2 linked regions of the Neurospora crassa OR74A genome follow. The protein of the gene in region 1 interacts with the protein of each later gene in a pairwise test. Links are inferred from orthologs where the notes say so. Each region holds a gene or a part of one and is shown in the gene's direction. Other genes may lie near its edges. The genes, in order: NCU02391 and NCU06110.

Region 1 (4,522 bases):
CAAACGCGAAGTGAGATATGGTGTCATACCTCCAGGCAGATGAAGGTGCCATTTTCGGACTCCTGCGATTTTCAAGGTTGCGGCGTGAGTTTTGTTTATGGCGAGTGTTGTCGAGCTCTACGAAGGCAAATAAAGGGAATATTCCGGCAAACTGGGTGCCGTTCGCTACTGTATATACTTCGCTTTTGGGTGTTTCTCGTCGAACACAGAGTAGTGGAGCACGTAGTGTGAGGTGTGTAGTTGCCAAATGGGGAAATCGTCTGACTTATCAGTGGTGGCCGGGTCCCAAGATCCTGAGGTCTCGCTCGAAGAAGGAAGGAGGGAAGATATCTCGATATGTTGATGATCCGAGTAGAGTCTTACCAAGCTGATAGTAGGTAGGCTGCGAGTAAGATGTAATGTTTTGATAGAGGCAGAGTCGAAGCAGTGGTACTCGGTGAAGAGGTATCCGTGGCACACAAGCTAGGTGGGATGAAGATGACGAAGTGGTGAGTGAGAAGCACAGAAAGGGTTCAGGTCACAAAGTACTGCGGAATCATAGATATACATAGTATCAGCCCCTGAAAAGTGCAACCACCCCCAAGTGTAAAACTCCCCCGAAGTGCAAATAATCCGTCATGGCCGCCGGAATTATCTCCGCATACAACTCCTGCCAACTGCGAAGACTACTTGGCCCCGGATTTGCACTTGCAGGGGTCAAGACTTGGTAGTAGCAAAGGACATAGCCGACTGGGCACTGGGCTTTGAAGTGAGTCATGCCGGCTTGTTATGGTAGAGTGTTCGGGCATCTCCTAGTGGCACGGTGGGAGCTTTGGAGGCAGTGCAAATGGTAAAAAGTACATCGGATGCGGAATGCAATAACCATATATATATGATCGCACGTACCCCTAAGGAAGGTACATACCTCTCCCAGATATCCACTGTGCCGATATTGCCGAGATTCACTGGATTGCGATGTTCATACCATGTATGTCCCCGTCTCGTCCGTTAGGTTCCTCCACCCCTATAGGAATGTTCGGCACGTTGCTGGGCACCCTGAGTGGGTGACCAGTGATGTTTGGGGACGTGCGACTTGGTTGAAGTCTTGGTTTCCTCAAAACGCCGTGCCCACCGTCCCGCTGAAGCTCCCTCGAGGTCCCCAGCCGTCCGTCATAAGCTCAACCTCGCGTTGGGGAAATTTGTCTGTCTCCAGCTACAGATACAGGAACAAGCAACAAATGAGGGTGTGCGAATTTGAGAACCCTCTCGGTTATTACTTGTCCAAGGGGTTAGGTGAAACACATAATGACCTCCATCGGAACTTGGGGTGTAGGGAATTGCATTGGTGTATGAAGTTAGAGGTGGTTTGATTATTGAAGTGTACTAAGTACTACGATGTACGCAGTAGAGGCCTGAGCGTCACGTGCTGCGTATATCTGGAGATGAAAGTATGTAAGTTACCAGTTTTCTGACCTTACCGTAACATTCCGTTCTATGGGGCAGTGGTGTACCTCGAGCTCTATGCGTTTAACGTGCAGCGCATTGTCCAACACCTTCGATCCCGCTGTCACTCTTCAGAGGTGCGGCAATACTGACTTGATACCTAGGTAGGTACGAACCATTACCCTGGCTGCCTAGCCCCAGCCTGTGTGGATACTCCCGTTGGTACCTACTCCGCCCAAAGCGAGGCAGCTAAGGCCAGTCTGGCTTCCCAGTACCTACCTCTAGCATAGCTCCTGTCCTCCTGATTGATAAGTCTGATAGGTGGAGAGGCAGCCCCTCGCCGCCCGGCGCCTGATGCTGTCTGTTGTCGTAAGTCGAGAGCTGTCAACTTCGACTCCCAACTAAGCGCGCCTCAAAAGCTCCCCATCACCAACTCCACCGTCCGCCGCTACGCAACACCCACGACTTGTCCCCTGACTCCTTTCGCCGTTCCTCTCGCGTGCCACAAGCGTCGTCGATATATCCATCAACAGGTCCCGGCCATTAATCTCTCCCGCCTCGTCAGAGACCCAAGCAGCGGGCGACAAACACCATGGCGGCTCCTCCTCCCAACGATGGCTACGGCCAGTATCCCCCTCAGCAGTACGGCGAGCAACCCCAATACCCTGTCGAGCCCGCCCAACAAGCATATGGTAGCCCGGCCTCTCCTCCGCCGGCGGCCGCCTCCCAGCACGGCGCCGAGCATGGCAAAAAGAAGAAGAGAGCATACGCCGCCCAGGCCTTCGAGGTTGCCACAGGAGGCAATGCCGTAGTAGGCGGACAGCCAGCAGCAACACAATACGGGATCCCTCAGCCAGCAGCACCGGGATTTGGTGGATATCCGGCGCAAGATGCCCAACAAGTGGCGTACGGCGCTCCGACAACACCGTACGGCGCGCCTCAGCCTGCCGTGCCCGGAGTCGGAGGCTATCAGGCCCCTGATCCCTACTACTCCCAAGGTGTTCCTCCGGCCGCCGTTGGCCCTGCCCCCGGGGGTGTTGCCGGTATTACCGCCGGCATCCAGTCTATGGGCTTTGGAGGACAGCCGCAGCAGCCGCAGCAACTTCCTGCCCAGACGAGGGGTCTTGTGAACCAGCTTTATCCCACCGATCTACTCAACCAGCCCTTTAATGTTGCCGAACTAGAGCTGCCGCCTCCCCCTATTATTCTTCCCCCTAATGTAAGCTCTCTGGCTTCTCGACTTGTGTTACGTGCACACTGCTTACTTTTTGCTGCTAGTCTAGCGTTACCCCTTCCCCAGATGCCAACTGCGCGCCAAAGTATGTGCGATCGACCTTAAATGCCGTACCCACCACCCACTCGCTGCTCAAGAAAAGCAAGTTGCCCTTTGCGCTCGTTATTCAGCCATATGCAGCTCTTCATGACTTGGACGATCCGGTTCCAGTTGTGCAAGACCAAGTGATCTCGCGCTGCCGAAGATGTCGATCCTACATCAACCCATTCGTGACCTTCCTTGACCACGGTCACAGATGGCGTTGCAACATGTGCAACCTAACCAACGATGTTCCCCAGGCCTTTGATTGGGATGCGGCGGCCCAGAAGAGCGTGGATAGATGGCAAAGACCTGAGCTTAACCATGCGGTGGTTGAGTTCGTTGCGCCGCAGGAGTATATGGTCAGGCCTCCCCAGCCTCTGGTCTATCTTTTCTTGTTTGATGTCAGCTACGCGGCTGTCTCCACAGGTCTCTTGGCCACCAGTGCAAGGACAATTCTGGATAGCCTCGACAGGATACCGAATGCCGATCGCCGCACCCGTCTTGGATTCATCGCCGTGGACTCAAGCCTGCATTATTTCTCAGTCCCGAGAGATACGGAGGAAAATGGCGAGACGAGCATGCTTGTGGTCAGCGATCTGGATGAGCCATTCCTCCCGGTTCCGGGCGAGTTGCTGGTCCCCCTCACCGAGTGCCGCCAAAACATCGAAAGCTTCCTCAACAAGCTGCCCGAGATGTTTGCGAACAACCAGAGCAATGGAAATTGCATGGGGTCAGCTCTCAGGGCAGGTCATAAGCTTATCGCCCCTCTCGGCGGCAAGATCGTGGTGCTGAGCTCATCTCTGCCCAACGTGGGTTACGGAAAGCTCGAGATGAGGGAAGACAAGAAACTTCTCGGCACGTCCAAGGAAAGCGGGTTGCTGCAAACCGCCAATTCGTTTTACAAGAGCTTTGCCGTGGAATGCTCCAAGAACCAAGTGTCTATCGACATGTTCCTCTTCTCTTCCCAGTATCAGGATGTGGCCTCCCTGAGCAACCTCCCGCGGTACACTGGTGGTCAAACATGGTTCTACCCGGGATGGAACGCCGCTAGGGCCGAAGACGCCGTCAAGTTTGCGTCCGAATTCAGTGACTACCTGTCGTCTGAAATTGGCCTCGAGGCCGTCCTCCGTGTTCGCGCTACTACTGGACTGCGGATGAGCACATTCTACGGCAACTTCTTTAACAGAAGTTCCGACTTGTGCGCTTTCCCGGCTTTCCCCCGTGATCAGTGCTATGTCGTCGAGGTTGCTATTGATGAGAACCTTACCAAGAATTTCGTTTGCTTGCAGACAGCGGTACTACATACAACCTGCAATGGTGAGCGTCGCATTCGCGTCATGACTCTGGCTTTGCCGACTACCACCAATCTTGCCGATGTGTACGCCTCGGCCGATCAATGCGCTATCGCTACCTACTTCAGCCATAAGGCGGTTGAAAAGGCCCTTGGAAACTCCCTGGATGCGGCAAGGGATCTCCCTCAGCAGAAGCTCACCGAACTTCTGCAGACCTTCAGGAAGGAGCTGGGCGGAGGCAGTATGGGTGGCGGCCTTCAGTTCCCGTCCAACCTCCGTGGCCTCCCTGCCCTCTGCCTGGGCTTGACCAAGCATGTTGGTTTGAGGAAGTCGGCCCTCATTCCTTCGGATATTCGCTCTGCTGCCCTCTGCCAGCTCTCTACCCTTCCTTTGCCACTACTTATGCAGTACATCTATCCCAGGCTATACTCACTGCACGACATGCCTGACAATGCCGGTATTCCTGACCCGGAGACGAGCCAGATTGTTCTCC
Region 2 (4,240 bases), about 900 kb from region 1:
CTATTAGCAGCAATAGCTTCAATACACATTACTAATTTACAATTCTCGGGGATAGCAAAGTAGTAGGTTCGCTTCCGCTTTATAATAACAAGCTAGTCTTTACCTATACCAATACAGAAACTAGTCTTATTTATATTCTATATATCCGACGGTATAAAGCCTTCTAATAAAATAATTTAATAGAGCTTCTCGAAGTATACTATTACTTATTATACTATTTATTAATCGTTACCTATATAAATAATATTAATATAACGGACTTACCTTATTTATATCCTTATTATCTTTCTGGGTACTATCTATTTTCTTTTGCCTAACTTTAGAATATTCGTAGCGCTTAATAAACCGTATTGCCCAATTAATACTAATGCGGGGTATTTCTTCGTTGTTAGAGTCGGCCGATTTAGGAGCCTTACTTCGAAGTAGTAGATCTGCAATATCCTTAATATACAACGGTCGTACAGCGAGGTTAATTCTATCGAAACGGTCGATATAGTTATATAGAACCTTCTTATTAACTAGAGTAAGCTTTTACTTGTATAGTACGGGCGTACCCTTCTTAGTTGGGATCCCTTTAATGTAATTGTAGAGTTGCTTGCGGGGGACTTCAAATGTCTTGCACAAATGGGTGACGGGGACGTCGGGATTATCGTAATAAAAAGCGACCGCTCGTTGCAAACGTGCCTCCATATTGACAGCGATTATCCCTAATGCGATACGACGTTGTGGTAGTATAAAGAGAGAGGATTATAGGAAACTCAAAATCGTTATAATATATTGAGGTTCAAGATGTACGTGGCCGTTTTACTGGTGTGGCCGTATTACCCGTGAGCACCCACTTTAGGGGGTGCGAGTTCTACGAGGTCCAAAAAAGTGGGGGCGTAGTACGGGTAGTAGCCAAGAAGGGGAAGGGAACGTTCGGGCCGTTAATGTTCTCGGCGTCGGCAAGGTGTCGGACTTTGTCCCGCGTTAACGGTGCTACCACCCATCCAACGCTATCATTAGCGAGCTGCAGCTCTTGCTTGAAATTGCGACCTCAATTGCTGTTGTACCGTAGCTGAGCGTAGTTAGCCGGTTCATTCATTTTTGCTTTCCTCATGTTCACGCCATCAGCGAGTCCATCCGACACCGAAGAGTGGGGTGTTCGGCCCACGCATTGATGTCTGTAAGCCGCGCACTGTCGAGGATCGAGATAACAAGCGAACCTCTAATGTTGGACACGGACAAGATGAAGAGGGGTAACTATATTGATAGCTTCGACAACTGAAAACGATTTGATAGTCTCGGGCTGACATTGGGTCATGATCGGAGGATCGCCGATGCCGTGAAACTTGGGCAAAGGAGGGGAACAGGAAGGCGAAATAACCATTCGTGGTGAGGATGCATGGGATGATGGAAGGTGTGGCATGTTCAGATAACCGCATACTTCCCGTCAGTGTGTACGATGCAGTGTTGGAAAAGAAAGAGGGGCAAGAGGGGCAAAAGGATGCAAGCGAGGGGGAGAGGGGACGGGATGCAGCTCGAACTGAACCGGGAGTAGGAGGGGAGTCGCGTAGGTACATGTGCACCCACCTCGCTTACCTTACTTGCCTCAAGTAACGATAAAAAGGGCAACAGCTCCCCTACACAAAGTCTGCCTCTTCTCTTCCATTCTTTCCCATCTTCTTCCCATCGTCAGAATCAACGAACAACCTCTGTCTTCGTTCCAAGGACTACCAGCAATAAATACCAACACGCAAGTATCACCAAGCTTGTTCGGGCTTCATCTGTCTCCTCTCCCCCATGGTGTTGATATACTAACACCCTCAAGCAAGCAGACAGACTCTCAACACCAGGGTACAGACCACCCACCTCCTCCACCAAGATGGCCACAAACCATCGTTCCAGGAGGAGCTGAAGCCATGAACTCCCCATCGGCTGGTTGATTATACCATGATTCGATCACGTTCAAACATACTTTCAGAGGTAACTATCTGAATGCATGAGCCGGTGCCAACTTCTGTCCTGGGTATTAGGTCGCTTCTAGCACCTGTACCCAGGGGAGAAGTACAGGCTGAGAATATACGGCGACGAACTTGATCTGGATAATACCAGCGAAAGGATCATGCTTCAACTTTCCTCCCCCGCTCCCCCCTTCTCCCGTACAGTCATTCTAACATTCCCAGATAACTCTGATCCATCATCACCATGTCTCCCTCTGTTCTCGAGCCGCAGAGCGTCCCCACTCTTGTCAACGTCGGTCTCAAGGCCGTAGGCAGGAACGATGCTCCCGTCGAGCGTGATGCCAGGGGCTTGTCCAAGCCTCTTCTGGAGCTCATGCCCACCCTCGGCACTGACGCCTTCACCTTTTCCCCCATTCGCGAATCTACCGTTTCGCGCGCCATGACCCGCCGCTACTTCGCTGACCTGGACGCCCACGCCGAGACCGACATTGTCATTGTCGGTGCCGGCTCTTGCGGTCTCTCGGCCGCCTACGTCTTGTCCACCCTGCGGCCCGACCTGCGCATCACTATCGTCGAAGCAGGCGTCGCCCCGGGAGGTGGCGCTTGGTTGGGCGGACAGCTCTTCAGTGCCATGGTGATGCGCAAGCCTGCCGACGTCTTCCTGGACGAGGTTGGCGTGCCGTATGAAGATGAGGGTGACTACGTGGTGGTCAAGCATGCCGCTCTGTTCACTTCGACTGTGCTGAGCAAGGTCTTGCAGAGGCCCAACGTCAAGCTGTTCAATGCCACGACCGTCGAGGACTTGATCACCAGGAAGCACCACGCCGAGTCTTCGTCGTCATCGGATGATGGCGAGGCCGAGGACGAGGCCAAGGTGAGGATTGCCGGTGTGGTGACCAACTGGACCCTCGTGTCAATGCATCACGATGATCAGAGCTGCATGGACCCCAACACCATCAACGCCCCAGTTATCATCAGCACCACGGGCCACGATGGTCCTTTTGGTGCCTTCTCCGTCAAGCGTTTGGTCAGCATGAAGCAGATGGAGCGCCTGAACGGCATGCGCGGGCTCGATATGCAATCCGCCGAGGATGCTATTGTCAACAACACTCGCGAGATCGTCCCGGGTCTGATCGTTGGCGGTATGGAGTTGTCGGAGATTGACGGTGCCAACCGCATGGGTATGTTGAACTATCCCCTACTTCAGTTGATCTGAGTTGCATATGCTAACCCTGGCCAACCACAGGACCTACCTTCGGAGCCATGGCTCTCAGCGGTGTCAAGGCTGCCCACGAGGCCATTCGCGTCTTCGACCTCCGCAAGGCTCAGAACGACAAGTGCTAAGCCTGTTCAAGACGTTGGAAGTAGTAACTAAAATGGGGGAGGATTTATGCATGCAATTTGTTGAATCTTTTGAGTTTAAACTTTGTTCGTGTCCATTTGGATCCAATGAATTCTTGAACGTACAGTCCCTTCTGTTGGTCTCTTTATGCTTAAGATAGCCGTTTAAAGTCCAAAATCGTCTTGACGCACCTCTTAAGTCATCTTGTCATCTTTTATGTCCGAAAATCCCGTGAAGCAGGAACAAATAAACCTTTGCTTTTGCAAGTCGCGCAGAAGTGACCTCTGGGGCGGTGGAGAGGATATGGCATTGAAAATGTAACAATGTCCTGCCGGACCCCAAATCATCAACGGTCATCCTTCTGCTCAGCTTGACGGCTGCGATGTCGCGTCGTGGACAAGAGAGCTTCAACAGTGCATGACAAGGTCAAGCAACACAAGTACAGGCCTGGGAAAAGCGACAAGATATCGAGGGAATGCAAGAAGACATAACATAGTAGTAGTAAGGTTGATAAACTGGTACGTAAGTCCCATCGTTTGGTATCTCTCCCTTTTTGAGTCGCCTGCAGCGGAAAAAAGAAAGGAACAGAAAGAAGACATTGCCGACCGACCAATAAACTCCTGCTCCACGACTCCGATCCCAGTCCTCCTTTCCAGTAGTAGCAAAAAGTCCGATTCCCATGAATCAAGGCGGGTGAGCCAAGGTCCAGCCCCAAGGTATACAACCCGATATCCATCAACTTTCGCCTAGCAGCAGCAGCAGCAGCAACAGAGAAAGAAAAGAAGCATTAACAGCGTGAACGAAGCCAAGCCAACCTGAGCCCTCCCACTCGTGCTAACAACTCATTTCCTTCCGGTCCTTCTGGTCTTACCAGCACCTCAACGACTTCAACAACTTGGTTGCCCTGCCCCTCTTTCTCCTCCATCCACCATTCCCATCCTTCTCATCCATACCC

Evidence for each region.
Region 2: the proteins of NCU02391 (region 1) and NCU06110 interact in a two-hybrid assay, tested with the Schizosaccharomyces pombe proteins (2 studies listed by BioGRID). The link is inferred for Neurospora crassa OR74A from reciprocal best matches to the Schizosaccharomyces pombe genes sec24 and thi2.

Annotation. Positions count from the first base shown.
Region 1 is NC_026507.1:2,660,050-2,664,571, reverse strand, and holds the start of NCU02391 (protein transporter sec-24), read left to right. Parts: upstream 1-1,602; 5' UTR 1,603-2,014; coding exon 2,015-2,641; intron 2,642-2,700; coding exon 2,701-4,522. Other genes in the region: NCU02390 (hypothetical protein), read right to left, coding at 30-52. UniProt on the Schizosaccharomyces pombe protein: Component of the coat protein complex II (COPII) which promotes the formation of transport vesicles from the endoplasmic reticulum (ER).
Region 2 is NC_026507.1:1,764,035-1,768,274, reverse strand, and holds NCU06110 (thiazole biosynthetic enzyme), read left to right. Parts: upstream 1-1,136; 5' UTR 1,137-1,735; exon of another isoform or gene 1,736-1,817; 5' UTR 1,818-1,836; exon of another isoform or gene 1,837-2,165; 5' UTR 2,166-2,187; coding exon 2,188-3,124; intron 3,125-3,189; coding exon 3,190-3,287; 3' UTR 3,288-3,814; downstream 3,815-4,240. Other genes in the region: NCU06111 (GTPase Ras2p), read right to left, coding at 4,153-4,240. UniProt on the Schizosaccharomyces pombe protein: Involved in biosynthesis of the thiamine precursor thiazole. Catalyzes the conversion of NAD and glycine to adenosine diphosphate 5-(2-hydroxyethyl)-4-methylthiazole-2-carboxylic acid (ADT), an adenylated thiazole intermediate.